Linked DNA regions of Schizosaccharomyces pombe. The protein of the gene in region 3 purifies or fractionates together with the protein of the main gene of each other region. This does not show direct contact. Each region holds a gene or a part of one and is shown on either strand. Other genes may lie near its edges.

What was found.
Region 1: the proteins of spt7 (region 3) and taf10 purify together in Schizosaccharomyces pombe (affinity purification with mass spectrometry, with the first as the bait; one study listed by BioGRID). This does not show direct contact.
Region 2: the proteins of spt7 (region 3) and hfi1 purify together in Schizosaccharomyces pombe (affinity purification with mass spectrometry; 2 studies listed by BioGRID). This does not show direct contact.
Region 4: the proteins of spt7 (region 3) and sgf11 purify together in Schizosaccharomyces pombe (affinity purification with mass spectrometry, with the first as the bait; one study listed by BioGRID). This does not show direct contact.

What each region holds. Positions count from the first base shown.
Region 1 is NC_003423.3:2,251,862-2,259,173, reverse strand, and holds taf10 (SAGA complex/transcription factor TFIID complex subunit Taf10), read right to left. Parts: upstream 4,173-7,312; 5' UTR 3,973-4,172; coding exon 3,325-3,972; 3' UTR 2,948-3,324; downstream 1-2,947. Other genes in the region: ATP-dependent RNA helicase Dbp7, read right to left, coding at 1-360; SPOM_SPBC21H7.03C (multiple inositol polyphosphate phosphatase), read left to right, coding at 1,139-2,530; SPOM_SPBC15C4.06C (ubiquitin-protein ligase E3), read left to right, coding at 5,768-7,312. UniProt on the Schizosaccharomyces pombe protein: Functions as a component of both the DNA-binding general transcription initiation factor complex TFIID and the transcription coactivator SAGA complex.
Region 2 is NC_003423.3:3,574,887-3,582,692, forward strand, and holds hfi1 (SAGA complex subunit Hfi1/Ada1), read right to left. Parts: upstream 4,834-7,806; 5' UTR 4,570-4,833; coding exon 4,353-4,569; intron 4,311-4,352; coding exon 4,084-4,310; intron 4,033-4,083; coding exon 3,933-4,032; intron 3,815-3,932; coding exon 3,339-3,814; 3' UTR 3,147-3,338; downstream 1-3,146. Other genes in the region: SPOM_SPBC887.16 (uncharacterized protein), read left to right, coding at 35-364; SPOM_SPBC887.17 (transmembrane transporter), read left to right, coding at 1,146-3,023; Man5GlcNac2-PP-Dol translocation protein Rft1, read left to right, coding at 5,449-7,032; his4 (imidazoleglycerol-phosphate synthase), read right to left, coding at 7,209-7,806. UniProt on the Schizosaccharomyces pombe protein: Component of the transcription coactivator SAGA complex. SAGA acts as a general cofactor required for essentially all RNA polymerase II transcription. At the promoters, SAGA is required for transcription pre-initiation complex (PIC) recruitment.
Region 3 is NC_003423.3:3,258,793-3,268,638, reverse strand, and holds spt7 (SAGA complex bromodomain subunit Spt7), read right to left. Parts: upstream 5,370-9,846; 5' UTR 5,263-5,369; coding exon 4,689-5,262; intron 4,648-4,688; coding exon 4,448-4,647; intron 4,394-4,447; coding exon 4,355-4,393; intron 4,303-4,354; coding exon 4,201-4,302; intron 4,159-4,200; coding exon 4,020-4,158; intron 3,973-4,019; coding exon 2,729-3,972; exon of another isoform or gene 2,690-2,728; coding exon 2,546-2,689; exon of another isoform or gene 2,503-2,545; coding exon 2,288-2,502; exon of another isoform or gene 2,243-2,287; coding exon 1,921-2,242; 3' UTR 1,764-1,920; downstream 1-1,763. Other genes in the region: tan1 (tRNA acetyltransferase), read right to left, coding at 418-591, 644-787, 837-1,042, 1,128-1,284, 1,335-1,445, 1,553-1,624; chaperonin-containing T-complex eta subunit Cct7, read right to left, coding at 5,835-7,053, 7,221-7,644, 7,687-7,720; cdc20 (DNA polymerase epsilon catalytic subunit Pol2), read right to left, coding at 8,151-9,846. UniProt on the Schizosaccharomyces pombe protein: Essential scaffold subunit of the transcription coactivator SAGA complex. SAGA acts as a general cofactor required for essentially all RNA polymerase II transcription.
Region 4 is NC_003424.3:1,368,380-1,375,765, forward strand, and holds sgf11 (SAGA complex deubiquitinating submodule subunit Sgf11), read right to left. Parts: upstream 4,092-7,386; 5' UTR 3,929-4,091; coding exon 3,902-3,928; exon of another isoform or gene 3,666-3,901; coding exon 3,339-3,665; 3' UTR 3,295-3,338; exon of another isoform or gene 3,242-3,294; 3' UTR 3,099-3,241; downstream 1-3,098. Other genes in the region: cyclophilin family peptidyl-prolyl cis-trans isomerase Cyp1, read left to right, coding at 9-62, 267-346, 429-525, 566-730; mug10 (Rho guanine nucleotide exchange factor), read left to right, coding at 1,800-2,015, 2,079-2,897; F-box/WD repeat-containing protein Pof1, read right to left, coding at 4,687-6,504.

The DNA.
Region 1 (7,312 bases), 1.0 Mb from region 3:
TTGATTATCCTCAAGATTTTGACCAACGTCCTGTGAAAAATGCTCAGAATCATCACCCGTAAACAAAGATGTAACAAAAGTATTATCGCGCTTGTTGCCTTTTAGCTCATGAGCTGGTTTTCTAGGATCAAACACAGGATTTATTACTTTTTCCTTTTGTGAATTTTTATAATCAGTGGAAGCACCATTTGTGCCTGAATTTCTTTTAACGGTTGATTTTGATGATTCATTAGAATTGCGTTTTTGCCTTTTTCTATCTCTAGCGCGATCAGTCCAGCGACGACTAGACTTCAAGGCTTCAGGCTTTCTTGATTGAGCATTATCAACAACAAAATTGAGAAGCAATGGTTCGTCCGCCATTTGCTTACAGTTGATGAAAATTTGAAAACTTGTGCTTCCACCGTGCTTAGTTTAGTTAATTGTACTCCATTACGCTATGCTATACTAGACCGCGTTAAATACTTGAGACGCATTCAAGTATTCTTCCAAAAGGTCATTTATTACCTTTTTACAGCTATAGGTGATTTAAGTAATATTAAACCTAGAGAAGCACTGTTAAAAACATAAATTACTCCTTCAGTCGGACTTTATTGACCTAATTTGTATTTAAAAATATTAATAGATACTTTGCGTATAAGAATAACAATAAGCGCAATATATATGTTTCTTTATAAGATAATATGCTTCAGGAGGAAATACCGCGCTCATGCACATCTATAAATAACTTTAACATCGAAATTCTTATACGTGTTAAAATGTTTAGTCGAAACTCGTTATTTGTATCCGTATTGACTGTAACGTACATTAACAGTTCGCGTCTGCCATGATGTTTTACGTTTTCACTGGAACGGCATCGGCAGCAGATTTCAATTTAGTGGAAGCTACCAGCTTTTGTTGGCAGATACACGAATTACACGTATAGGACCATTACGTTGTATCTTTTAATGGTTACCTTTCAATTAATCCTTCAAAGTCGCTCCTAACCTCAATTGACCAGCAGTTTGTTGGTTGAATGGACTGTCACTCGTTTTAATCAATTTCTTACTTTGATCCTTTAATTTTTCTTCCTCAAAAGCTCTGCTTTACTAATCGAATAATTAAGAAGGCCTTTTACTCGTTTGGCTGATATATTTTCGTGATGCAGTTGTGTATCATTTCTCTCTGGTTCTTAGCTGCGTTCATCGTCAATGCCGATAATGTTCAGTTTGAGGATTATGAAAGCAATTTTTTCTTCAAGGAACATCTCGGAACATTAAGTCCTTATCATGAGCCCTACTTTGATGGTCTTGATTCTGCTTTCCCTGAAACCTGTGAGATCCAACAAGTTCATCTTCTTCAACGTCACGGTTCCAGAAACCCAACGGGCGATGTAACTGCCACTGATGTATATAGTTCACAATATTTAAATAATTTTCAGGAAAAGCTTTTAAACGGCTCAATACCCGTAAACTTCAGCTACCCCGAGAATCCCTTATGTTTTATTAAGCAGTGGACTCCTGTAATAGATGCAGAAAATGCCGATCAACTTTCCAGCCGTGGTCGTCTCGAACTTTTCGACTTGGGTCGTCAGCTATACCAGCGTTACTATAAACTTTTTGATTCATACGTTTACGACATAAATACGGCTGAACAGGAACGTGTTGTTGAATCTGCAAAATGGTTTACTTATGGATTATTTGGTGATAAAATGTACGAAAAAACCAATTTTATCCTTATTTCTGAAGGTAAGGCAGCAGGTGCCAACTCCTTATCCATGTACAACGCATGTCCCGTGTTTAAAGATAATAACTTTCATAAAAATGCAACTGATGCTGCCCATGCTGTATGGCGCAATATTTTTATTGAGCCCATTGTGAATCGTTTGGCTAAATATTTTGACAGCAGTTATAAACTTACGATCAATGACGTTCGTAGTCTCTTTTATATCTGCGAATATGAAATTGCTATAAAAGATCACAGTGATTTTTGTTCCATATTTACCCCATCAGAATTTTTGAACTTTGAATATGACTCAGATCTCGATCAGGCATATGGAGGTGGTCCTGTTTCCGAATGGGCTTCAACCTTAGGTGGGGCCTATATAAATAATCTTGCAGACTCACTTCGTAATGTGACTAATCCCGACTTCGATCGTAAAGTATTTTTAGCATTTACTCATGATTCTAATATCATTCCTGTGGAAGCTGCTTTGGGATTCTTTCCTGACATTACTCCGCAAAATCCTTTGCCGACTGATAAAAACATTTATACATACTCCCAGAAAACTTCTTCATTCGTTCCCTTCGCTGGAAATTTAATTACTGAGTTGTTCTTTTGTTCTGACAGCAAATATTATGTACGGCATCTCGTCAACCAGCAAGTTTATCCCCTTATCGATTGTGGGTATGGACCTAGTGGAACTTCTGATGGACTTTGCGAGTTACAGGCTTATTTGAATTCACCGATTCGGGCAAATTCTACCTCTAATGGTATTTCCATTTTCAACACAGAATGTCAAGCGCGTCCTACCAACGTTACCATTTACTTTTGAACTATCAGCGCTATAATGTTTAAATAAACAGAATGGATCCTTTGAATAGGATAAACTATAATTTATTATAATCAATTTATTTAATTTTGGGTAATATTAGACTTAATTAAAAGAGGAATACCAAGTACTTTCCTTCCTACAATCAAAACAAGATGTTTGCTTGTAGGAACTGATAATCTTCCTTTGCCAGATGAAGGCAGTGATTTTTCTTGAGAAGTCTGTATTTGTTTAAGGTTTCAAGCATTACATTATTTGAAAGAGTACTGGTAACTGTAATTATATTAATTTTTACTTTATATACAATGCATATTATAATTAGAAGCATGTTAGGTTCTGACATACTATGAGGCAGCTGTCGACCGCGTAATTGACACTTTCAGAAGTGCTTTTCAAAATGCAGATAGTAGCATAACGAAGAAAACATTTACTACATCAATGTTGAATGAGAGTATCAGTGTAAAACAAATTCAGCAAGTGATAGCGAGAAAATAGTAACTATGATACATATGATAAATTTTATAAAATATAAAGATAAATAATCCCTCATATGAAAACTACTGCTGAAATGGATCGATATGAGAAAATGTTTTGAAATTATGATCATCAACAATGCCACGCCAAACCGAATGTGCTATCTTCAAAATACATAATAATTTCAAAAAAGTGTAAAAGGTTAGAATTAACAACAATTAGTAAACAAAAATTTTATAGGAAAATGAGATTTCAGAAACAAAGTTCCACTAATGCATTAAGTAAGGGTCTCACACAAGTGGCCTTAGTGGGATAAAAAGTCTTTAACGGAAGAAATCGGGCCTTTTCAAATTAATTCCATATTCATTAAGAGCGGCACTTAAGTCATCTACAGTGAGCACGGTTTTTCCACGGTCACCTCTTCTTCCGCTAGATCCAATCCCGGAAGCGCCTCCGGCTCCAAAATTCTGCGCACCAAACGTAGTTGAAGATGCATTGCTACTACCGGTTCGGATTTTAGAATATTGATAGGCGTCTTGAGCAACATCAGAAATAAATTTTTGAGCTGTAAGACCAAGAAGCTTTTTTAAGCGTGGGTCAACACATTTAAATCCAGATAAACTGAGGTAATAATCCAATAACACATCTGGAATTAAGGGAGAGTAATCATCCATTTGGGCCAAGAAATTTTCAAGTGTTTTGTCTTTGGCCATATCTCGCAATTCTAAATGCGGTTCTATAACATAATTCGAGCCATGCCTTTCTCTAGAATCATCGCTTTTGGGAGAATCCTCGTTATTTAAATGTGCAGGGGATTCTACACTCATTGGGGCGAGATTGTCACCAGTTGGCAGATTTGTGGAAGACGTTTCGGGTTGTTCATCAACACTCATCGAATTATTTCCATCTTCTGGTTCTTGCTTGGGCTGTTCAATATTTTCAGCTGGCTCATTATTGTTAATGTCACTCATTCTTTCTTTATTTGACCGATGTTGTAAAGCAAAGAATGTCTTTCTGCAACTTGATTCAAATCCGTGGTTCCTTGATTTATCGTTCGACTTATTGGAAATAATAGGAAATTTATTTCCCTAGCTTATGGACTTAACTTTTAATACTTTAATCCAGTGTTTCAAGAAACCACTAGGCCAACTAAAATAGGGATGGTGGAGGTGGACTATATTCTGTATTCGTGGTAAAGTAGCATTGTTATTTACGTATATAAGGGCTAAGATCGAAAAGTAAATAATTCCAATTCTTGGAATAATGCTAGTTGAATAATAGAAATTAATATATAAGATTAATTAACTTCTGGTAAAAAGTGTTGTTTAAAATCGGTATTATATAGAGTTCGGAGCGAAGTTGGTATCTACTACAATTTTTGCTTCTATAAGCAAATGTTCAGTTTAGAGTTGAATGGCAGCCTTCTTGGACTTGAACATATGTATTCAAAAGTAATTATTATTCTCAAACTACAATGTTATTCATTTGCTGAGATGAGCATTTTAAAGTTTGCGCAAACATGACTTCCAGTTAATATGTGTTTAAAACAAATAAAAAAATTTACTACGCAAAGAAAGGATATTTGAGATTAATTTGGTGCACATTTTTTATTTCTCATAACAAACTACATAATCCATTTCCCCATACTTTACCAATAATGTATTGCTAAGCCAGATCAAAGCTACATTAGATATCACTACTAATTATTGTTATTTTCATTTCAAAACTGTCGGATCCATACTACTGATCTTTAATGATCAGGACGAGTAAAACATCTTTAGGAAAATACAATTATTGAAGAAATATCTCAACCGAACAAACTACCCTTTCCTAGTTCAGTTGTAAGTTAATACAGTAAAATATAAAATTATATAGTATATTATATCTTAGCCTTCTTAAACAAATATGTAACCGCTGTACTAAACGAACTCCATAAAATTATACTAAATTACGAGGTAGCATATCACAATAATTATATCCTTATACTAGTTTACAAAGTATACTCAAACAACATTAAATCCTATAACGTATTCCTAGTAAATTGCTTCTTATGTTTAAGGAGGATATCTTATTGTTTAATTGATCGCTAAGCGATCCTTTTTTTATTTATTTATTATAGTTCTCTCTGATCATTAATTCTCCAGCTATGCTTACCTTTTTGAAGTATCACTTCTTCGTTTTTTTATTTCTTATAATTACCATTTATTATTATTTAGTTTCTCACACCTGTTTAAAGCGCTTGTCGAATCACCAAACACAAATAAGCTGTTTTATTTCACGATTGTTTTTCTCGCCCTGCACTTTATGCTTTGTTTGTTTCATAGTTTTTCCTTCATTAAAAAACTTCTTCACTGAAGTATACTGCTCATAGTGAAAATATAATAACAATTGCTTTCCACATGTATATCACATGTATTGTGTACTATGTACGCAATATGTCTCAAGATGTTCATTACTTAGCCACCACCAATTTGTGGTTTTCAAGCTTGAGCTAGTATAAGTTAAAAGAATCACACTTTTTACTTTCTAATTTTTTGAAATTTCCTTTAAAAAATTTCATTAATTGTGTTCCACAATTCCTGCTTTAGAGATATCACCACTCAACGTCTGTTTATTGATTGAAAGCTTACCTTTCAATTACCATTAAATTTGATTCATTATTTAGAAAGATTGGTATCAAAGCAGGTTTGTTTTTTGGTAATCTTGAAACCTCCTGTTTCCTAGTTCTTTGTGTTTCTTCGTGCCTTAAAGTTTGTTTAGGTTCTTATGCATCTGTGTAATAACCAGTTGCTTGATCATCTGGATTGCAATGCAGTTTACAGAGGCTATGTTTCACAAGAGAATAAGGTAAAGAGGAGAAAGCGGCTGTTTAATGCAATTCGTAAACTATGGAATGAAAGAAGGCGATATCGAATGCCAAAGGACGAAAGTATCTCGCCAACTCCAATCTCTTATTCATTTAGATCATTAAGAAGAGGCCATACTAGTGGGCATGCTAGTGAACACACTTCTTCTTCAAGATCTAGTCATGATGAATCAGATTCTATGTCCAGTTCTAGTGAATCAGACTCGGATTCTGTTTCCAGTGAATCAAATCCCAAATCTTATTCAGATTCTAGTACTAGTTCTGCAAGGTCGTCCTCTACTTCTGGTTCAATCTCCTTGTATGATGATTATTACCCTGCTTATTCCAGCAATGCTCCAAATACTGCAATATCTAATTATGTTAGCTCTGGTCTTTCATATTACGGAAATTCATCTATTATTATGAATGCTGTCGAATACAATCAGTTCTTTCCGCTAACCATAACTACTCTTATTGTTAAAAACAACAAGAATGTTGTTTCAAATCTTCCAAAAAATGTCTCATTTTACTTCCACTCTGACAACACGGTCCTTTTGAATGAGTATTACAAAAGCTTGTCTAAACTGAAGAATAATTTTCGTGGAATTATATATAAAACTACTCCTTATGGTAGCTGCAATGACACCGAGTCACTTCAAGTTGATACCAAGGGAAGCGTATGGTTTAGAGATGTTTCTAATATGGGAAGTTCTGGCTTAATCGCATTCGCGCCGTTTGACTATTGTGCTCCAATGCATGTATTGCAGGCTGTCCAGGATAGAGCAAAGGCAATACTATTTTATAATGCAAGCACTGCTAGTAATTCATTAACCAATTTTGACCACTTTGAAGATGCTGTAGATATGATTACCTTTGAAACATTACCAATGGCACTCATATCTTACGAAAACGGCATCGCTTTTGAAAAGATTCTCAACGAATACTCGGCTTCTTCTTTAAATTCGGTGCAGGATGGTGGAGCATTAGTCGAATATTTTGGAAACATTGATGCTACGGCCCGTTTGGGCGTTATCATCAGCAAGGAACCAAAGCTACTTGGCCTCTATATATTCATTGGTGTGTTATTGGGTTTAATCGGTGTCATAGGCCTTTTTATTTGCCTTCACTTTTCTGGTGCAATGAATGGATTTTATAGACTCTTAAATCGTCATGGAATTCCTGTTCAAGAAAGAATTGTGAATATTGGACCAAACAAACCAGAAAATCGTGTTACTAAAGAAATGCTCGATACTTTGCCCGTTAGAATGTTTTCGGGGCCTCATCTTGCCAATCCTAATGATGAGTTGGTTTATGAAAAGGATTGGAAATTAGACAAATCAGAAAGTTTTGATGGACAGGGAAATGTGGTTACTACAGCCGAAAGAGGGAGTAAGTATTTCGATCAGAGGGAGTGTACTATTTGCTTGTGTGAGTATTCAGAAGAAAGTCCTCTTTATCGAGAACTG
Region 2 (7,806 bases), 320 kb from region 3:
ATATAAATATGTTTGTATAGGTGATATCTTAAACATGGCTCGGACCAATTTACAATATCCTTACAAAGTCCTGTGGTGTGCTCAAGTTAAAGTCGTTAAAACGGGTTTAATTAATTTTTTTGCTCCTAGCATTCAGCGTCAACGTGAGAGAGTATGTGAGGGTTATCTACATGAAACCCCCCTGTTACTAATGCAAGTAGTAGAAAGAGAAGCAATAACTTTAGCAAAGACAGAATTCAAAAATAGTTTTAGTAATCTTCATTTTTTCTTTCTTTTTTGGCTGCTTAATTTCATTTTATTTTTCAGAATACATTTGTATTCTTGCAATTTTCGCATGTCGATTATTTGTGAAGAATACTACTAATGTTATCATTGTTACTTTTAAGAATTTTTTATATCTTTGGAGTAGGTTATTGGCAGTGGAATTTTGAGTTTATCTCATTTTTTGAAGTAGCGAAATTGACGCAGTATCTGATAGCACAGCTATTGGCTGTTAAATATAAGCGCCCAAATTTGACTAGTATTTAACAGTCCTTGGGTCCATCAGCGACACTTTGCATTTTTTACAAACTTTTTTCTAAACACCAATTTCTATTTCTTTGCAGTAATAAAGAGGTCCTGGACTGAAAACTCACTGTTGTACTTAATTAGGTGTAGGTTTGCATCCAGTTGATAAGGATTATAAAGTTTTTTCAATCTTCACGTTGAGATCGAGATTCATCGCTTAGCAGAAAATTTTTAGATTAGTGGTAGGTCGAAAAGGTTCTGGATTTTAGAAAACGGCTTTGATCAAACAACTTTAAAGATTAGATTGCTTTTATCTCGATCTTTGTTTACAATTTCATCAAAAGTTTTTTAAATTGCTTTTACTGTTTTTGAGGTTTGGAAGCAAAATCGGTTTCTTTCCTTGTGGGTTTTGGGATTTCTCTAATATTTGTATCTTTAATAAGTAATCTATTTTTGTGAAAAGGGCTTTTTGCTTAGCATTAACACGGATCTTTCCGTTGATTTGTTGTGTTTTATTTATCCTCGGCAGGTTATTTGGATACCTAGTGTAATATATATACATATATTATAAGTATTCTCGTTTTTATTGTTTTAATATTTCAATCCTCTTTTCTTTTTTTCCTTAGTTTATCGAGAAGATGAGCATCACACAAAAAGTAAGGAATTGGGTCGAAGAGTTCGACGTGATCGTCGCTCGTTCGGCATTCGGACGTTGGTTTCGTCTAGAGGGATGTGGTCATCCTCGGGAGCGTAAAGGCAGTCGCTTTTCTCTCGAAATTAGTGCTGGTCTTACTACCTTTTTTGCAATGGCTTACATTTTGGCTGTCAATGCTACCATTCTCGTAGATACGGGCGGCACTTGCGAATGTACTGAAGCTAATCGTGATGATTGTGACAAACTTGATGACTATGTACTTTGCAAAGAAGACTTTCATCGTGATCTCGTCACAGCCACCGCTGCCATTTCTGCTCTCGCTTCTTTCTGCATGGGTCTTTTTGCCAATATGCCCGTGGGTATGGCCCCTGGTATGGGTTTAAATGCTTATTTTGCGTACCAAGTTGTCGGATATAATGGCACTGGACGTGTTTCCTATCGAGAAGCTCTTTTAGCTGTTTTTGTTGAAGGATTCATCTTTACTGGTTTAACTGTTATAGGTCTACGCCAATGGCTGGCGCGAGTTATTCCTGCCTCTTTGAAATTTGCTACTGGTGCTGGTATTGGTTTGTATCTCACAATTATCGGACTCAGTCCAAGTGCTGGGTTAGGAGTCATTGGGCATTCCTCATCTGATATTGTCGCTTTAGGAGGATGCCCTCCAGAATACCTAAACGCTGATTATAGCTGCAACGGTCATCAATTACAATCAGGAAGAATGTGGGTAGGTATATTCTGTGGCGGTGTTCTCACTGCTATTTTAATGATGTACAAATTTAAAGGTGCTGTCCTTGCTGGAATCGCACTTGTCACTATCACAAGTTGGCCTAGACGCTCATTAGTAACTATGTTTCCCCACACGCTTACAGGGGATTATAATTTTGATTTTTTCAAAAAGGTTGTTAGCTTTCGAAAAATTAACCGTATTCTTGTTGCCCAACAGTGGAACGTTACAGGCGGTCAATTTGCCATTGCACTGATTACTTTTCTGTACGTTGACATTATGGATATGACTGGTACACTTTACTCAATGGCTAACTATGCTGGTTTGGTCGATCCTCGTACTCAAGACTTTGAAGGATCCGCAGTTGCTTACATCGTCGATGCTTTAAGTATTTCTATTGGGTCACTTTTTGGTTGCTCACCTGTTACTGCTTTTATTGAATCCGGGTCTGGTATTTCGGCTGGCGGTAGAACAGGGATTTTAGGTATGGTTGTAGGCATTTGCTTTTTCATTTCTCTTTTCTTTGCTCCTATTTTTTCAAGTATTCCAGTCTGGGCTACCGGTTCTACATTAGTACTTGTCGGCAGTATGATGATGAAGAGTACTACATTGATTAACTGGAGTTACCTTGGTGACTCCATTCCTGCTTTTATTACAATTGCTTTGATGCCATTTACCTACTCGATTGCGTATGGCTTGATTGCCGGTATTATTTGCTACGCTCTACTAAACTCCATTATTTATGCTATTGACAAAATGTCACGCGGTAGACTTGTACCGGCTGACTATAATCAAAAAGAAGCTTGGACATGGCGTGTCGAGGGGGGTTTATTGCCTCAATGGGTACGTCGCCTCTTTAAGGGTAACCGCAGATTTTGGGAAGATCCTGACGACCGCAAAGCTATGGACAATGCCACCTTAGAGATGGCTACTAGTAGATCTTATTCGGAGGACGGTAAAAATGAGAAAACTACTCATGAGGACGTTACAATGAAAGAAACATCTTTAAAGAAGATGGACGATGAGCGCATTTCTGTTGACGAAGCTGTTGGCGAAAGTGAAAGTTTCAGTAATAGACAACAGGATTTCCGGACGCCTTATGCTGGCATCGATATGGATACTGATGATCGTATTTAAACAGTTTTTACTAATACTATATTTTAGCAAATCTTGAACAATAATAGTATTCTGTCGGTAAATCTTGCTGGATAATTACGTATTTTAGAATATCTATATTGCTTCATCTTACATATTTCGCAACCTGTTATATATTAAATTCATTACTATAAATTAAAAAAAAAAAATATGTGAAAAAAATCTAACTTAAAAGGATAATCAAGTCTTGTATATTTGCGAGCTGAAACGCTTGAAGAATAGCCCTTGAAGCTTTTAAGATTGTAAATAAATAAAGCACTTCTGACGATTAGATTAAAAAAAAAAGAACCTCCGCGGTTATGAAAGCACTTCATCTAAAAGGGAAGCAACAGAATTCCTATCACTTTGCGCATCATTGCTTGCAAGCATGTAGCTTGGCGATTCTGCACAAATTGAAATTTCATCTTCAGTATAACTATCATGAAGCAAAAACGGCATTCTTAACTTCTGTGGATACTGTTCGACAAAAGCATGAGGTTCAATAGTCCATGCTAGATTAAGGTCATTAATGGTAAAACCTGCCGCATCATTTTCAGTATTTTTTTGTCGAATATTTTTGTTTAATATAGAAAAGCATCTGCTTAGAATGTTCTTTAGATGGCTTTCTAACCCAGCCAATATAATATCAGACACACCCTTTTGTACACCACCCAATAAGCCATTTTCAAGAGAAATAGCTGTAATTCGTTCTTTTAACGATTCTGAATCTGGAAGTTCAAGTGTTTCACATGCTAGAGGTGCAACATAGCCGGCTTTAATATCATTTACAAATACTAATGAGGTTAGTGAAAATATTACCCAAATTGTGGTTAAAAGGAAATTTCCGTTAATAAAAATTAAATGGTTACACTTTTGAATACTTCCTTAGAACCTATTAAAGAATAGGCTTACCTGAATTCAGCTTGTCTCGGGATACAGGAATTTTAGGTAATTTTGCAATTCTCGTTTCCAGCAGCAATCCTGAGATCAAACTTGGTGTAACTGGCTTTTCCTAGATATGTTTGTTAGAAAGGTGATAAAAAAGACTTATAATAAAGCCTACTTTTAAAGCAGTTTTGATCCTAGCCCGGTCTTTATAACTTAAAGACATTACTATTCGCTTGATTAATCGAACCTGTGCATTCTGCGAACTAATTTTTTTATGTAAAAATAAACTATTATCGACTTTCTTCCGTTTAAACCAAGGTAAATGATGTAGAGCACTAAAGGTATCATTATTTTTTTGCATCAATTTGAGAATATGAAAAATGATTGAATTGTGTAGTTTATCTAAAGTGTCAGAACAATATTAAATAAAAATTTATATCTTACCAAAATTTGATTTTCCAGCGAAAGTTAACAGCATCGACTTCATTTCCTTTCTGCTCAACTGTCCAATTAAGAAGTCCGTCATTGTTTTAGTATACACCTCGAAACTGCTACCCAAAAGTGATTGCATCTCTGAGATTATTTGCGAAATTACTGTGTTGGGTTTGTGCCCATTCGAGCTAGCGCTTTGAACTTTTTGTACAGTAACTCCTTCTGTCATTTTTCTAGTACAATTTAATCATCAAGGTCATCAAAATAAGTTTATGACAAAAAAAAATAATAGCAGAATTAAAATAGAAAGCTTAATCGCATAAGTCCCAGTATTGGTGTAAAACACAAGTAAATTGTTCAAACTTGTAGCTAAAAAGCAGATGCAAAAGTAAAGCTAAGTACAAATAAAGAACCTATTTTTTTTAATAGAAAGTTGTCTACAAAGGTTCTTAATGAGTTTCAAACAAAAAACTTTCAGACTTAGTAGAATGATGCCTTAAACTAGAAGTAGTCCAAGTTATTACATGCCAGCAATGCTTAATTTACGGTACGCTTCACTAAACATCAAACACTCTTCAGCCTAAAAAAATTTTAGTATACAGTAATAATCATCTGTATATTCTTGAGTATCTGATTTACTATTAATTATCTAACCACAAAATTATAAAATAGGAAAACGAATTTTAATTGTACCTACGTCCTTAAAATCAGTCGTGAAATGGGTTTGTGATTATTATACTTATGGAAGTTTAAGGTAACCTGGTATTAACAGCATATGAATTACAAGCAGTAGAAGCTTACTGTACTTTAACGCATCTTTAATACAAATATGGCTGTATAGCCGGCGGGTTAAACATGGCAACTCTACTTCGTTAACTCAAGTATATTGTAGAATTCCTTAATGCTCTATGTTAGTAATGTGTCCTGAAAAGTTAACTGCGCGCTCAAGAGACACCCATTTATGCGCCAAATCCACCAAGTAAATATCTCATTTATAAGTTAGAATACGAATTACATAAAAAAAGTTGGGACATTAATGGAAGAAAGAGGTAAACAACTATTGACTTGTAGTATAATTCTTTGAATCTAGATCAGTACCAACTAGCTAATGGATAAATCTGATTCTTTGCTGCAGTCGTCCTCGAAGGGACTGCGCTCCTCCATATTTTTTCAAGGAAGTTCGAGAATATTGACTTTCTTCTTAAACCAACTGACCATTCGGTTAACTAGTCCTAGCGCCTATGCATTTTCTTCTATTCATTTTGAGATATTACAGAGTACGATCCTTTTCCTCAGCAGGGAGTCGGTTCGATTAGCTATGCAAAGAATTCCTTCGGAAAATGCAATAATTACCTCTACTTCTACTGAGTCAAACAAATCAAAAAAATTAAGTGATCAGTTGCAATTGATCAAGAATACTTCTTTGATCAGTGTTTACATTGGTATCGTAATATCGCTTCTGGTTTCTTTATTTTACTTCTATTCACTTCCTAATTTTCCTTATTCTAAAACATGTATTTTTATTTACACCGTTTCTAGTTTCATTGAGTTGCTATCTGAACCATACTATGAAGTTCTTCAATGGCGCCAGAAGTTCTCCAAGACTGCTTCAGCAGAAGGACTTGGAACAATTATTTGCTCTTTATTGTCCTTTGCAATTTCTGTTTTAGGAAGGAATAAGGCACCGTCAAGTCTTCCTTTTGCCCTCGGTAACTTGTCAGAAAAAGTAACCATTTTTTTTACTTTAAGGTATTTTGCTAAACAGCCATTCTCCATATTTCTCCACAAAGTGGGAGAAAACGAGAGGTATATATTTTGGGATAGTTCTACTCTTCGAATAATCTGTTCACATACTTATCAAGTGTTGTTAAAACACCTAATCACAAAGGGCGATAAGATAATGGTAGCATGGTATGCTTCTCCTTCTGCTCAAGGTCCGTATGCGCTAGCTTCCAATTATGGTTCTTTATTGGCGAGAATCGTGTTTCGACCAGTAGAGGACCATTCTCACATTGTTTTTGCTCAGTTAACGCATTATAAGAACAAAAAAGATGAAAAAAAGGCTTTAAATTTGTTGGCATGGATTTTAAAATTATATTCTTATATGAGTTTGTTTATCCTTTTTGGAAGTAATTACTCGGACATTGTTCTTTTGTTTGGCGCAGGAAGTAAGTGGGCTTCTCCTGATAGCTCTAGCATTTTATCTTGGTACGCAATGTATATTCCGTTTATGGCTGCAAACGGCGTGTTGGAAGCATTTTATGTTTCAGCAGCCAACTCTTCTCAGTTGTATGATCAAGGGAAGTGTTATTTGGCTTCCGCTGTATTTTATTTTATTACTGGAAAATTCCTTCTATCATGGTTTAATTTAGGCTCTCATGGATTAATCCTTGCAAATATATTAAATTTATCACTGAGGATATGTTTTGCCTTACGGTTTATTCTTCACAATTATAAAGATTTTAGTCTCCCGAGGTCTCTTCCTAGGCCTTTTTTGCTAGCTCTTTCAATTCTTTTGTCTATTATAAGCAGCTTCCTCGTAAAACATTGGAGAGAATCTAAAGTCCCCTTTTTGGTATACTTCCTGTCCGCGCCCTCACTGGCCATCTTGTACAGTTGTTTTATAATTTTAGTCGATAAAGACGTAAGAGGATATGCAAAAATTCTGCTGAGTAAATATTACATAAAGTAATAAATACTACTCTATGTCAGATAGTTTTAATAATCTGGATAAAAATTTATATTATCCAAAACAAATTTTATTGGCATATGCAATTTCAGTGCACTATTGACATCTAATTTAGTGCTAAAAGGGGAAGGAATTAGATACAAATATTTTTTTATCGTAATTCAGACGGACTTCGCTAGCTAAGTGCGAACCAGAACGTCGTGTATTGCCAGATATTCTTTGACGTCTTCTATGCGACAAGTTTGTCGATGAAAAATTCCGGCGGCAAGAGCTGCATCACAATCCGTTTCTTTAAATACTTCTTCAAAATGTTGGGGAATACCAGCACCACTTGAAGCTATTACTGGAATATTCACAGAGTTTTTAACAAGACGAACAAGTTCTATGTCATACCCAGCATTTGAACCGTCTTGATCCATACAATTTAATAGTACTTCACCAGCACCCATTGCTTCACAAGCACGAGTAAGTTCAACAACATCAATATCACGATATTCACGACCTCCTTTAACGGTGCACTGATACCAACAATATGCTTCTCCATTAGGTCCAAGCCGAGATGTTTTCACAACATGGTGTTTAGTATCTTCAGGAACTTTTACATACTGACGTTTAGGATCAACCGAAATAACAACTGCCTGATTACCATAGGCCTTAGAAATTGTTTCTATAGCAGTTTTTCCACTCAATTTCTTCCCATTTTCGTAATACTTTTCTGCGGCATAAACGGCGTCACTTCCAATAGATACTTTGTCGGCACCTGATCTAAAGTAAATA
Region 3 (9,846 bases):
TTTCTGTAGGACCTTTACGCGTTAAAATTAACGTTATCAAGCTTTATTACTAAATTCGTTTGCTTTATTTGGAGATAATGTTACGTTTAGTTATCGTTTCACAAACGTTTCAAGACGCTTATTTTACATTACTTTGTAAACTCAATATCAATTAGTTCGTAATCATATCAAACATCCAAAATATAGTTTTATCGTGTGTTCTCTATTTGAAGACTTGTATGATGACCAATAAGTTCGGCTTTCAATTGTAAGCGCAGATTCCCATTTTCCCTAATAATTCGTTGTTGATATTGTCGTAACCTTTAATTTCATGACAAATCTTTAAATTTTAACGAAAGAAATTTATACGCTCCTTCAAATTAAAATTCTCTAACATAAACGATGATCCCGGTGCCTCGGTTAATATGTAGAGCTCTCTTACTCAGCATGTTCGGCCTTATCATTTATTATTTGATTCTTATCGCGATCGAAGTTGTCTAACTTAGAATCATTAGGGATCGACTTGGTATTCTCCGGTTGTTTATATACTTCATTCAAATTGAAGCGTCTCAACTCTTCGAAATTTTGTACAATACTTATGCCAATTATATTCTAAATTTAAAAGGATTGTTAAATGCAATTCGTTGCAAGCAATGAAACGTACCTTAATCACTTGGACTAAAATAAGCAATTTAAAGTTCTTCAAATCTACCATATGTTGCTTTCCAACGATTCTAGCAACAGTGCGATATATATCATCTTTTTTTAGGACTGTATGATTTCGGATATTGGCTTGAACAGCGAACTCCTGGAGTTAGCCTATTGTATGCTAAAGCCATATATTATTGCTAACTTACCTTAATCCCTTCCTGGCCTTCATGAAATAACGGGTCAATCAGACTTTTAGCAAGCTCCTCGAGATCATCCAGGGAAACGCCAGTTGTTCTTACAATCGGTATCAATCGTTGTGTATATCGAGTCATTTTTTTGGTTTTCCCAACTTCACAAGTAAACTCTACAAGACGCACTGGATCAATTGGTGGCCTTGTTTTTACAAAGTAAACTTCAAAAAATTAATAAACGGTCATAATAATTCAAATACGAATAAACATCTTAAACTTCTAAAATTATACTGTTTATGCACCTACCACAAGGCATATCTAGCATAATTGGGGTTAACAGTTCTTTTTTGTTCTTTTTTTGGAGACTATTAATCTCCTTAGCAACTGCATCTTCTAATTCCTCGCCTTCTTCTTCGTTTTCTTGATCACTAGATTGAGTTTCTGGCCAAAGAGTAGCTATATGCTATTAATCATCAGTTTACGCATCCTTAACCTGACAAATGTCTTGCATACCTGAGTAAAAACATCAAGAATCTCAGACGATGATTGTCTTTCTTTACCGCGAGGAACAGTAACTAAAACACCACTTTCATTTTTTTCAATCCCTGTTCTTTTGTACTTAAACTATACTTAATAGTTAGCTTTGTTTGATAAAGATTCCTTTCCTTTTTAAAAGGTCGCTCACTGCTGTTATGAGCGTTCTCGCGCTTTCCCATTTCAGTATGTGATACTTCAAGGTGAAAGGTAAAACTCGTCTCAAATGAAATAATTAGGTAACTTAATATTTCGGACAATGCACTCATAATTAGGTTAAATGTGTTGCTAGAGTAATTAATAAATAGTTATATGTTAGTGATATTATATCTTTATTTTGCAAATTCAAATTGCCATTCGGACCCCGATTTTTCAGACATTAATAATTACTAAAGAACACATCAGACATAAAGCCAAACCAAAACTAGAACCATTATAATTATTACTAAAAGAAACTTTAAACTTTTTTAAAGTAAAAATTATGTTTTAAAAGTTATGTCTCCATTGTGGTTGATACACATCTATATACTAGTTGTTTTTGACGTTATAAATAAATACATATGGCCTATTCTTCAGGAAGAGTAGTTACCTCAGTACCTTGCTCATTCTCCTTTAGGCAGCGCTTTTTTCTCAAGGATTGATTTAAAAAAACTGACGAAGCAATTCGCTTTCTCCCAGTGGTAATCTTTCCGTTCGGAGGTAGACGCGGTCGCGGAGGTTTGCTCCTTGGCCTTATGTCTTCATCTTCCAACAACTCATCCAAACCGAATTCCTCTAGATTCTTCTTTAAAAATCCTTGAATCAACCCGATTTCGTTAGAAATACTTTCGGCGGTGATGGGAGGATATTTTGGAGGTGGAGCGTACTCTTGGTCACCCTTTATCGTTCTGAATGAATTAGTATCAAATCTTTCAAAGATATTATAAACATACGCTTCGGGTTGCCAACTCATATTCGACCTCAATCTGCTTTGTAATAAATGCAATGGAACCGATAGTGAATCTAAGCCAAGTTCTCTATCTAAACCAAGTTCCCGTAGACCAAAGAAATCATCACCAGTCTCATACGAAAAATTTCCCGTTACAAACGACTCTCCATTTTGGTTAAATATCGCTTCTTCATCATTGCGCTCAGAAAGTGCAGGACGCTAATCCGGTTAGTAACACTACTTAATAAGGAAATTCGCATACCAATAACTCAACAAAATGCCTTTGAAGACGCTGATGTATTTCTAGCAACTTCACGCTTTGGCGCTCTACATCATGATACACATATGAAATTAAATCATTCACATCGTCAACACCTAATTCCCCTAGGGTTTGTCCAACAATTTCCTAAATTGGTCAATATAACTGCATAACGTAATTAAATACCTGTTGAGATTTGTCTTTCCCATAAATGAGATACTGGTCCATGACAGCACCCATTTTTGCCATGTAATCAGCCGCTATTTCGGTCAAAGCATCCAGTGCTCCCATTTGAAACGACTCAAATCCAGCATGGAATAATATAATGGTACAAAGCTTTTTTAATACATCGTGCGCCAATGGTTTAAAGGAGGACATGTTATCGTAATTTTGTGGGATATCCAAAAGGATGGGTTCATTGTTAGCAAACGGGACATGACTTTTATGATGTTCATAATAAAATGGCTGAGGAAGCTGTAACTGGCGAACTGTTTGGATTTTATTACATAATTTCCGAATTTCTTGCATTTTAGCAATATTTTTGTACATCAACGAAGGTACACCAGGTGTGTTGCGATTAATTTCAAAAAGAGAGTAGTCCCTAAAGTATAAGTCTTCTTCACTTTCAGTCTCCAAGACGCTACCAGCGGTCATCGGAACGCCTGAACCCACATCATACTCAAGTAATGGGGTAGTATCTAATTTCATTATTGGTTCAAAATCACCTTTATCCATAGGTAAACAATCTATACTTCCATAAGCAACTTCTCGATCTATAAAAGCTGACATTGCTGTTGGCTTCCGAATCATAGGTAGTTCAGTCTCAATAAATTGTAAACTTTTTAAAATCCGCCGATTATTTAAGATATGGCTTTCACGAATATCCTTTGTTTTGATTTTCCAATATTCAGTAGCAACGTCAGACAAAGGTTCTTTTTCTAAAGTGTTAGAACTCTCTATAACGGCCGCTTCATTGACAGGAGGTGTTGAACCGCTAACAGCAGGAGGTTTAGAGGTCTCAACTTCTTTCTTTGTAACAGGAGTATTGTTTTCTTCGGGGCTATTTGCATCAGTATGAACTTCAACAGCTTGTTGCGTTTGTCCGCCCCTAGAAGATGTCTTTTTAGAAGTGACATGTTTTGATGTCTCCGCTGTTGATTCTTCATCGCTTTCAAGCTCTGCTTCAATTAAACTATCATCGTAATCCTTACGAGATTGTATTACTATATCAGGAATGAGGTTTATTAATTCCAAAGACTTGTCTTTCATAAACTGGGCATGTACGCGCAAAGGGTGGTCGGGATGTGAATTATACAAAAAGCAGTTCGACCAAATTAGCATTAAATCATGAACGAATTCTTTTTTGCTATTATAATGTAAATTTTTTAAGTTCCTTAAAATGGTACCAAGGTCCATCGGCTCCTTAATTACTACAAAATGTTAATGAGAATTTTAGAGTTATTAGAATCACTCTTACCAGTATAATAATCAGGTGCATCTCTTTTGCTGACCTTGGTTAGAAAAGCCAAAGAATGCTCCGTATATGATCTAAGTTCCAGGACCACTTTTTCTGCTGCTTCATAAAGCTCTTCTTGACCAATTCTTTGATCATTCGCCTAGAAAACATTAATACAAGCAAAAAAATAAAACTTAAATACCCATTTTGATTTATTTTTTTTAACATCGGATAACAATTGCTTCACATCAGCATCGGTGGCATTTATTTTACTTCTATTTCCCTCCAAATATTGCAGTAGATACTAAGTATTAGTTTTGGTTGACAACAAGATTAGAAAGTGATTAAAAGTATACCTTAAATGACGAGGTAAGTGATCCAAACTTTGAATTAAGCTAAATTTTGTTAATTAAAAGGAATTAAAATAACTGATAAGTTTCATAACGTACCGATAAATTATCAGATAAATCAAGAGAGGATGAATTGTTTTGAAAGCTGGATGTATTAGGGGTTGATGTGTCTTCCTCATCTTCAAATTTTTTCACTTCATTGATATTTTCAGAGTCATTTTCTAAAGTATAGTACACATAGTTGAAACTAATATTGCTGAGTGCCTTATTTGATTCGATGGCTGCAAAACCAGAAGTATCTAAAATGTTAGTATATAAGAATACTTAAGGGATGACTTACCCATATCATCTATATCGACAGATTTCAAATCTATAATGCTTTTTCGTAATGATTTATCCTTTTGAAGATCCAGAGTAATGGTAGCTTTAGACGAGTCTTCGGCATCAGATTCATCAAAATCATCATCATCAAATAGTTGTCTTCCAGTTGCTTCAGACTTTTTGGCATCTCCCTTCTTTCTTTCTTCTTCCTCGGCCAACGAAGCTTCTAAGGATATGTTTTGATGATCAACATGCTCAATAGATCCAGAACTTGTGGAACTTAAATCAAATAAAGCTGGATTTATTTTAGCGTCAAATATCATACAACGACAGCGAAACAAAGTAGTAATATCTAAATCGTCTTCCTCATCATCGTTACTGCCATTCGAGTCTTTTTCATCGCACAACTTATCCCATTCTATTACATTAATGAATCGGTTCCATAGAAGAGTGTCATTTAGTATAGAAATATACTTCCTTTTTTGTTCTGGGGACAAATAAAGGCTCCAATAATCATTTTTAAGCAGCGCGATTGCAATGTCATGAAGAACAGGCTCATCCAACGACTTTGAATCTTCGAAATTAGTCTCCATTCAAATTCTCCTTCCCTATGTATAATAGTTCATAAATGACGCGTGATAAATTAAATTAACAACCACAATGGATAAAAAATAACACTTGAGATATGTGAAGGTTTCATACTCGTTTGTTTCGCTAGCGTCGGATATGGATACACAGCGATTTCCTGAAATATGTTTAACGTACTGTAACAATTGAAAATAACGATAGAAATGAAGCAATATATGTTCTGTTTACCATTTCATACCAGTATACTACTATAAGTTTTCGAACTTAAAAAAAGATATTTGGAAGGTATCAAAGTATCACATATAAATCCTTATAAATTATGAAACAATTTAGTAACTTTTAGTAATCACTGTTCATATAATATCGCAAAAGTGAGTGAAGTGACAAGAAAATAATCCGCGATGCAGAACAATATTGTAAGTCGTAGCTAGCGCTCATAAAGATAAAATAGCTAATTTAGAACCAATAAGTACATTACGCCCTGTTTATAGGTAGAAATTCAAAACGAATTGTCCAACCAAAACAAAAAGTGATTTAATTGATTTTATCTAGATAGAATACAATCCTAGAAAATTTATTAGCGGGGCATTCCTCGACCTCTACCACGCATAATCCTATTAGCAGCGCCAGGAGGTAACGCACCCTGTGGAGCTTGAGGTTGCTGTGAAGGTTCATTTTTAATAGTCTCGTCAACGGACAGAATTAGAGTAGCTGCCTCAGTTGCTGATAATATGGCATTTGATTTGACGGTGCTAGGCTCCCAAACAAACTTCTCAAAATTGTTTGCGACCCCTTCGCTATCCATATCTACACCAGCCCACATTTCACCCTTGGCATGTTGCATACGGAGTTTATTCAAAATATTTGTTGAATCGAATCCTGCATTATCACACAGCTGACGAGGGATTACTTCCAACGAGCGAGCAAAGGCAGCTATAAAATTCTGTTGTTTACCAGATATAGTAAGAGAATAATCACGGAGATATTTAGATAACTCCATCTCACAAGCACCACCGCCAGCGACTACTAAGTTATTTTTTAACGCATGTTTAACAATCATAATAGCATCATGTAACGAGCGTTCCACCTCTGCAATAAACTGATCAGCACCGCCACGAAGAATAAGAGTGCAAGTCTTGGCCTTGGGACAACCTTCAAATAGATTGAAACGATCACCACCGATTTGACGCTCCTCAAAAGTATCACAAGTACCTAGGTGCTTCTCCTCAATATTTGAGCAGGTAGACTGGATGGAGCCGCCAACTGCTTGTACCACACGATTTAAATCATCTGCAGCAACCCTTCCAGCACAAAAAATGTCACGATCCGCGAAATATTGGGTGGCCAAATCACCGATGGGCAATTTTGACAAAACAACTTTCGCACCAGTAGCGACAATCGCTTCAAGTTTGGAAAAAATGATACGCCATTCAGCATCGACGATATTCTGGTATTCTTGAACTTTATCAACGCGAACTTCAGCATTGTCTTTCTCGGCCTTTAATTCCAACTCAACGTCCAAACAAAGAATTTTGGGATTCTTGAAGAATTTTGGCTGTTGTTCAAAACCAGCATACGAAAATGTCTTTTTAAATGCAACGCCCTTAACAAGAAGTGAATCCTCCATTGCTCCTCCAGGGACTTTTTTAATACCAATCATGTTTTCATTCAAGTCTTCTTGATCTAATGTCAAAACAGCATCAACTACCATCTTTGTAAAAAAAGTAGAATTCGAACGAATAAGCTTTGAGTTCATTGCAGTAGATGCGCATTTTGTTAACAGATCTCGTAATTTTCTGTAAAGTATTAGTAAACTGAACAAATATAAAATAACTAAAAATCCTTCTAATAAGTAATAAAAAAAGTATAGCGAAAAGCACCAATAATAAACTTTACAAAACTTATTCTAAGCAAGCTAGTTAAGCAATGCCCAGATAAAAATTCTATAAATTAAAAGTCTTACCCTTCGTCCGATAAATCCAAGTGAATAGCAATCTCTTTAATCTTATTCACAGCCAACTGGGCAGCTTTACGATAACCTCTTATAATAAGATGTGAACTAACTCCATCTTCAACAAATGTTCTCGCTTCTCTCAATAATTCGCCAGCGAATACAACGACCGAAGTAGTACCATCACCGACTTCCGCATCTTGGGCTCTGGCAATATCAACTAGCGTTTTTGCAGCAGGATGGACAATGTCCAAGAGTTTCATAATAGTTGCGCCATCATTTGAAATTACAACTTCTCCTCTATCGTCAACCATTAACTTATCAGCGCCCAATGGACCGAGAGTGGTTCGGATCGTGTCTTGTACAGCGACACAAGCATTGATGTTCGAAAGCAGTTGACCCCGTCCTTGGGAATCATCCGTACCTTCCTTCAGTACTGCAAACGATTAGAGATACTTTCATCTGCATACAAACTTACCAATGACAGGAATTTGAGGACCTCCAAGCGACATTCTATTTCAAATACCCAAATTCACTTGTATTTGGTGCTTGGCAAAAATGAAGTTACAGTTTTAGGTGACTCATTTGGCGTGTTATAAAGAATTATCGTTAGGATCCACTAAACTTGTAAACAAAAAATTATTATTAAACTACAGTAACTGTGTGCATTTGTACGTGATTTACTAACTGAATTTATAATATTTATTCGAACGTTTAAGAGCATGAGTGGAAAAATGGTAAATTATCGAAAGAATGTACAATATCTTCCAAAAAAGCATTTAGGATGCGTAATTATCAAAAGAGAGATGCTTTATTAAAAACATATATGCTGCTATATAAAAATAAATAAATATGACCAGCAGCAGATAAAATCAAAATAACTTATAAAATACATATAAAGACAAAAAAGCCAAACTCATGCTCATGGTCAGGCGAGAAATGTTAGTTCAGCACAGAAAGTATGGACTGAACAGAATTTTGCAATATAGAAAACTCGTAAAAATCAGCAACAGATTGATAAACGTTTAACATTTCACGAAACTTTGTAGGTGAAAGCTGTAATACCCATTCTCCGCTGCATGAACAGCGTTCCTTTAATGACCATTGCTTAACTGTCTTACATTTAGAACAAATCAAATCTTGCAGTTGATATAATGTCAATTGATGGTATAAGTTATCCACCAAAGTTTCCTCAAACACCCATCGATCGTAAACTAAGTTACAGCTGGAACAAGACCATCCGTCAGAAAACACCAAGGTCCCCATGTCATCGCGAGTAGGCCATAGATGCTCATGTAAACAAAGGTCAAAATCCTGATGGACGCCACACTGCTTACAGGGTATTTGATCAAGTGAAAGTCGACGACTAGGATATCGAAATACCGCCTGAGTGGAAAACTCTTGAATTTGTAAAAGTGACAATAAACTCTTTTTTAAAAAACGGACCTCCAAATTGAGATCATGGGAGAGTTCAAAAACAGCACAGATGCTTTTAACCAATTCTAGAGCGCCATCAGTATAGTTAAGAAAAGAACCTGGCAACTTTGGAAATTTAAGATCTTCTCTGGTATTTTCATCAAGCTGAAGCTCTTGAAAACATCTCCTTACTTGAGCAACTTTCCGTTTAAGAGGATGTATCAACTTACTTTTTAAAATTCCCGATCCAACTATTTCAGAGTCCTCATCAGCATTGTTGTTTTTCACGCGAACAAACCCAACTTTTGTATTAGACTTTTCTAATTTTTGCTTATAAACCTCTTCAATAAACTCAACAATCCAACTCTGAAATTCGGGCTGAATGATTGGAGGTAAATGACTTTTAATGTGCCATGAAACAACTGTCTGTGGTTCTTCATTTGTAGCTGAAAAATTTGCTGCCACCATTTTTCCTCCATAATTAACGGAATCCATCCATAAAAGATAATCCCAGTATTCCGTGACATTTAGATCCAAAAAGTGAAATAGTGGTAACGTCTTAATGGATTTGAGTAAATAATTTGAATAAGTGACAGCGTTCTGGACGATTAATTTGCTCGTTTTGATTAATATTTTATTAGCAGAAGCGTGTATGATATGTGCTCCAAGGCGTTTTATCTCAGAGAGAAGTTGTAAAAAAGTTTTTCTCATTATAACTTCCACGTGCGAGGAGAGTAAAGGACTGTACAGATAAGATTTTGATGAAGAAATCCATCGGGCTAAATGTTGAATTATAAGATCAGCGAGATTATTACCGGATGCAGCTTCGTTCCACCAAGTTTTAACCAACGCCTTCAACACCGGCAATGAATGTGTCAGTCCAATATTATCATGTATTCCCAACTTTTCCTCCAGATCATCATTTATGGCGGTCATGTAATTATCATTCAAAGCTGCCATGTCGCCAATACCTTCTATGTCATTTATGAGAGCAGAATTGAGAATGCTACAAAGTGCAAGGTTGGAAAGAGAAATGTCAACACAAGCATTTGAATAAGCACCAGGATTGTTAACTTCTAGTGGATCTTTGGGACTGGCAATCTGCAGAATACTATCCTTCTCAATACCACCTAAGTCTGGAGTTGGGCCTTTATTCCACCAAAGGATAATATTATGTTCTTTCAGCTTTCTAGAGTAAACAACATCGATACTGTACTGAATG
Region 4 (7,386 bases), on a different chromosome or scaffold from region 3:
ACTTATAGACATGTCAAAATTTCTATACTTTAGCAAAAGAAGGATACTATGATGGTGTTATTGTAAGTTTTTTTCGCACTGTTTGCATCGTGCAAATAAGCATGTTGAAATATGAGTCTACAATTTAATATTTCAAGTGTGTTATTTTATTGATTTAACTGTTCACATTTACATGATGGACTCAGTCAGTCATATAAATATGTGTCCTATAATTCATTCAATATCGTATTTGATTTAATTCGTGAAATTGGTACTAATTAAATTAGTTTCACAGAGTTATTCCAGACTTTGTAATTCAAGGAGGGGATCCCACAGGTACAGGTCGAGGTGGAACTTCTATATATGGGTAGGCAAAGCTTTATAAATCGGCATTCACCGATTGTTTGCATCTTTATTACGAAGTTTTCACATTCTTATTAATTGATTAGGGATAAATTTGACGATGAGATTCATTCCGATTTACATCACACTGGAGCTGGCATTTTATCAATGGCCAATGCTGGACCTAACACAAATTCATCACAGGTATGATGACTTTGTTTACACTAACTTTAACCATCTTCAGTTTTTTATCACTCTAGCACCTACTCCTTGGTTAGACGGAAAACATACAATTTTTGGTCGTGTTGTTAGCGGGCTTTCTGTGTGCAAGCGTATGGGTCTTATCCGAACGGATTCATCTGACCGCCCAATTGAACCTTTAAAAATCATTAAAGCTGTTGCACTTTAAATTATTCTTTAAAGGATATTCAAAGGTTTTAATCTATAAGTCTTTTTTCGATTTTTCAACACATCCTGAAGATATTGACTAAAGTTATTTGTCACGGATATTAAAAGCTAAATTAATAGTTGATAAAGAGAAGCATTTCCTTACAAAAGGTGGACTTTTTAATTGAAGTCAAATTTTACAAGTCAAGTGGAATAACATAAGCTTCTAAGAAGGAATTAACTAGTTTTCTAGCTTAAGAAATTGGAGATGGATTTTGTTACGCATATCAACCTAGTTGTTTGACCATAAACGATTGAACAAAAACCTTTTACAACGTTAGCATTGCTTCCGGTACTTTTCTCCTTATCAAAAATTTTACAATTGTATTTTTTTCTTAATTAGAAGATTAAAGCTCGGGCCAAATATACAACTACAAGAGTTTATTGGACTAGATTACTCAAATACTATTGCTTCAGTTTTTTTGTTACAACGTGGGATGTTATTTTAAAAAAAATTCAGAATCAAAATAAAGTCCAATGCATAAAAACGGCATGAATCCTTCTCTTTTTTATTTAATTCTTCTTTTAATTGTTTACGCCAATTTGTGTGATCCATAATTAGCAAATTATTTTACGTGTTTTAACGTATTACGTTATAATTGTAATTAAGCAAATAAATGATATTTGTCAATTGAAGGTTCGAATGTAGTGGTCACGGAATACTCACAAGCATGATAATAATGTTTTTTAAGGTCCTAATATATCTAATTGACCTTTCACAGCTAGACATATCAACATATGACCAAAACTTAGCTTCATTCCTCAAGCGGGAAACATTCATTAACTGAAATTGTCCATGAGAAAGACTTTTTCTATTGAAAGATAAGTTTGAAAAGGCTACAAACTTTAAATACTTTTAATAAAGTAATTTTATTAACTAACTATTCCTTTGCTTACTTATAGATTTAAGATACTAAGCCACAGTTACGCAAAATTGGATAATGAACTTTAGTGACATAGGTTTTACACTGAGTAGTTGACTTTGGAGCGTGTTATTTACATGCAATTTCCTAACACGTTTCGCCTGGAGCATGGCACTTTTAAAAACGATGCCAATCATAAGGTCTCTAACGCGTGGAAAATCGATTAGATTACTTCAAAAACAATCAACGAAAAGAACTAATCCGTGCGTCTATTTAGAAGCAAAAGCTGTTGAACAAACACCGGCTACTGAGTTTAACAGTATACTTCAGGAAATAATTTCGACAGAATACAATTACTCTGTTGATTTAAAGAAAACATTAAATGTAACGATTACTATAGCAAATATTATGCTCGTGTTTACTAGTTTGTGATTACTTACATTTTAGGAAATTATAATGCCAATCGAAGGCCAAAGTATGGAAAGGGAGGCGATTGGAATTTGCACGTGCTTTAAGACTTTAAATCAGTTACACACGAAGTTATATCAACAAATGATTTCCAGTGGCTCTCCAGTATATTCATTGTCGCAATCTTTACCCGCTTTTCGTGATGTTTACCACATGTATACCATCAATTTAAGTGGAATATCTGCCATTGAAAAAATAATTTCTGATCCTTCTTCGTGCAACAGTCAGCTTTTAATTCCATTGCAACACTTGTTGAGATATCCTATACATTTAGCACGTGTTTGTAAAATGTTACGGAAATATCCATTTTTGAATGGAGATTTTCGGATGGCGGTCAAAACACTTGACGATTTTCGAGAGTTATGTTCTTATATAGACCAAGAAAAAGCCCGCGAGGAAAGTTATCAAGTACTTAGTGCACTGTGTGGAAACCAGGGTGTTGCGGTGGACATTCCAAGGCATATAAAATTTAAAGGGTCAGTTATTCCAGCTACTTCATTTATTTATGATTTTAATGCCTGCGTCTTTTGCGACGATGGATTGGTTGTTTGGACGAGGTATGTTAAAAAAATCGAAATGAAGGCCGTTTCGATAGAACAATGTCTTCGAGTAGATGAACTTTCAAACTCTATTTTAGTTTGTACTTTAAATATGAAGGGGAAGCTTTTAAACCGTCATTTGGCACCTCAAACTATGGCTGCTTCTGTTTTTCTTAAGTGGTATCATGAAAGAGCTGGTATCTCAAATGGCAAAGAAAATAAATTAAACCGATTGAAAGTTGTCAATGCTAAAACATAAACTAATTTCTTTCTTTTTCTTTTTTTAATATTAAACGATATTTTTTTTCTATTATTCACTCGTTACCTAAAATTTGCTGAACATAATGACAAATATGTTAAACCAAAATTTATTGTCAACTTACTTCTTCATTCTTGTTATCCTTGTCTTACCAACTTTGAAAGATATTTTCCTCAATTAAAAATTTACTTCTCACCTTCGTTACCTTAATATGGGCATTATTATTAACCAAATAGTTTAAATAATATCTTTATCCTTTAATAATATTTATTGGTAATTCTTGTTTACAATTCCTCGTCTTTTTATTGAAGTGAGAGTCTACTATATATGAGTTTAATAACTAGCTACACAAGTTAGCAAAATAATATTGTAGTTCGTCTTACTGGGAAAGACATACATGTGCATAATGAGAATAAACCTTAAAACAAGCAACAAATAAAACTAGTCCTCTTCGTCTGCATTGTCATCTTCGAAAAGAGTTGAGTACGAGGTAGCGTTTGAAAGTGACCTGCCTTTACATTTCTCTAAATGTGCAGCATATCGAGACGCAGCTATTTCACGCTTGCACATTAAACAAGAATAATAAGGGACATTTGAAGGAGTTTGGACGCTATTACCATATATATCGTAGCCTGGCTTGGTACAATACTGCCGACAATGCTTGTTACAGGCCGGACATTTTTGAAGAGATAATTTAGCATTCTTGTGGACTGTTTGGGTCAATTCATGGGTGTAGTCTTTCAACAAATTCTCAAATATAGTGCAAGACTGATTGAAATTTGAAGTTAGTGAAAAAGTTGTACAAGTGTTAAATTCAGCCACCTATTGACAATTGTTTTTCTATTAATCTTCCTTTTGTCTTTAAAGTACTACAATTTGACATGTTAAATAAACCGCGATCGATTAAATGATACATGCTTTCATAAACAAGCAAATCTTTTTTTGGCGAGGAAGTTTAATTTTGAAAGGAAAAACAATTACACATAGAGAAATCAGGTACTTACAATACCGGCAAGAGAAGCAGGCTGCATCTTTAAACCATTCTTTGGGAATCAAAAGTTGAGTATTCCAAGCAAGTTAGTATTGTTACAAAGCCGGTGATTCCAAAATTTCAAACAATGAGGAAAAAGATGCAACTGATCCGTATGGGAAATTGAGATTTACAGAACGGAAGTGCTTCAAATTGATGTCTTTATTATAAAAATTATTAGGCTCAAATACTTGGTGTTACATCTTTAGCTTGCGTAGGAGCTGACTTTATTTGCTAATAGTGAGTGTTGATATAATTTGCTAATTTCATACTTCTCTGACTCCAAGAGCAATGCAAAATACACACGCTCATGAAATAAAATATCAGTAATCCACTTGCGCAATTGGAAAAAACAACGCCTACAACATAGTACCTAAGTTTCTCCCTTTTACAATTCATCAAATCATACATTCTTCAGCTCGACTAAGGATAAATTGTATTCATTAAATACATAAAATGTTAAAAGTCATAAAATAATTCGCTAGTAAATTAAGCAAAAGGCTAAACTGTATGCCGGGATGCCATCAATCTCAAATGATTTAAATAATACAATACAGGCAAGGATATTAGAAGTAGTTTTTGATTATAGACAAAGTGTTTGTTACCAAAAAAGAGCCAAATTTAGATATGGCATTTTGGCAACCCGAGCAATAAATAAAGACATAGCTTCGAATGATGAAAAATGAAGGATATACAAGCGAAATGCCGAAGAAAAAAAGAAATAGACACAAACAAAAAGGCGATGCGATGTTGGGGTAACTACGATTGAATCGACACATCGTCATTATTGGCATTAGAGGGTGGGATATTTAAATTTCTGGTTGAGATATTGGATAACGAGGATGAGTAGTTGGGTACTGAAGAAAGAGCTCGTTGCACACTTGAATTTGACCTTTGACCATTAAGGGAAGATATCGGAACAGATTGTGTAGATACTGGAGATTCATTTGGAGCATTATTGAAAAGCCACAAATATATTTTCCCATCTTCAGACCCACTGACTACCTCACAGTCTCCAAGAGCAACCGAGGTTACAGGCTCCGAGTGATTCTTCAACGTGTGAACACATTCACAAGCCTCCCAAACTTTAACAACACCATCATGAGCTCCCGAGATTAAACGAAGGTGATCTGCCGCAATTTCCCATACACCTTCAATGTGTCCAAACAATGTATGAACACATTTTTTCTTCTCGATGTCCCATTGCTTTATTGTGCCGTCCAATGAGCAAGAAAACAATCGCGAATCAGCAAGAGCTAAACTCTGGACAGGGCCAATATGAGCACTGAAAGTATGAAGACACGTGTTTGTTTCCAAAGACCAAATCTTGATGGTGGAATCGTCGGAACCGGAAAGAACAAGTCCACGATCTCTAATTATGCGGACAGAATTGACAGGTCCTGTGTGACCGCGTAAAGTGATACGCTTACCGCCAGAAAAGTGCCACAGCTTAACTGTACAATCTGCGCTTCCAGAAACAAGTAGCGTAGAGTCAAACGTTAAGCATAAAACACTATCCGTATGACCATGTAAAATAGAAATGCATTCAGAGGTTCTGTAGTTCCATATACGAATAGTTTTGTCCATTGAACCGCTGATAAGTTTACACTGATCGAATTGAAGGCACGTAACACCACTGCTATGACCTTCTAATAGAGCAACTTGTTGAAAGGTAGCAAGATTCCATAATCGTATAGTGGCATCATAACTGCCGCTAGCAAGAATGTTCCTTACAAGTTGTAGACACATAACACCGTCAGAGTGGCCACTGAGAACAACCTGGCGACAACGACCATGCCGCCAGTTGCATTCAACTCTACAACGTTCAGCATATACTTCTTTCCATGGTCTGGTTTTAAAGGGAAGAAAGAATTTGGAATCGGAGTTCGGAGAAGGTGGTTTGACAGAAGAAATAGTCTCTTCATTACTCGACGTCGGATAATCGTCCAGCTTTGCTTTTTTGACGGGTGAAGATTCATGAGCCTGATCGACGCCTCTTTTTGTAAGTCGTTCATAACGTTTTTGTATGGAAGCCTTTGCTGCGTATAAGGTATTTCTTTCGAGTAACGGAAGTCCCCAGCCGCATTTTTCACATTTTCGATTAATATGTTGTTCACACATCCGATGCCATATAACATCATCATCAGCAAGTTCTTTCCAATGTTTACTGACTTGTGCAGCTTGGCAAAGGCTTCTAGCATCCAAAAAAGATAAAATGCGAAACGAAATTTCAACAGGGAGCAAAGAGAGAAAATCTAAGCGTACTAGAGAATCTAATGTGCTGGAGGCAAAAGAGAGAAGAGAGGACGAACAGTTGTTTAAAATGCCTTGCAAAGCGAGTTTACGTTCGCTGCAAGAAGCCTCTGAAAAAGCAGCCCATACAGCTTCGACACGTTGACGACTTTTTTCGCTTAAACCAGACAATTCATTATGCATTGAAGAAATATTAAAAGCCGAAACGGAGATGGATTGATCACCTTCTTTTTTTTCCAGTAAATGGCGTTGCCATAGCTCTGCTCGTGGTGCAAGATTATCAGAGGGTTCGGAAGTGGGAACAGATTCATAACCTGTAGTCATTTTTTTTATAAAGGTTAAATATTAAGTATGAAAAGAAAGAAGGGACAATGCAAAGGTTGATTTTAGGGTAAAAAAAAATAGAGTGGATAATAGCACAAAAAAATGTTATCACGGATGATGCGGGTAGATGTTAACAGAATGAAACCAGAAATGATTTGGATAAGATGATAGTAGTATAAAAGACTATAGTAATACAAAAAAAAAGGAGAAAACTATATGAAGATTGTAATAATTATGATAAGCGGGGAAAGTCAACTATCGAACCTTACAAAGTAATTTGTAAGTAAATCGAAAATTTAAAGTGCTAGCTGATAGAAATATATGGAAACAAGAAAAAAAATTTAAAAAGAGACACAAACTATGTAAAAGATAAACGAAAAAGAAACTAGAAGATCAAATATAAAATACACACAAACTCGTTGCTTTGGCAACCTTCAGTAAAAAGATGAAGAGTTGAGGTAGAACCAAGATTTTAATGATTCAAAAAACTCCAATAATACTCTTTATCCAACCACTTGATTATTCCAAATATGTGTATTTTCTTGAGGTGGCTTTCGATGAGGTTAAGGAGGAGAGGATATAATATAGAGAGGATTGTGAGGCCTAAAGACTAATAATCACCTAATGAATTTGAGATTTTGAGTAGAATTGCGAGATGTTAAGCGAATCTCAAAATTACGAATCCGAAGATAATGTGGATAAAACAAATTGCAAAGATGTCGTTCTATTCGTCTCAGTATATATATGTGCGTAGATCATTAAAAATCTGTCCACTTCTCAGTTAATGCAATTGATTTCGATTAACCAACTATTGCGCAATCTGCCACTCATATTGAAAATTTTTACTGATCTGCAAACGTTTAACAGCTATTTTCCACTAGA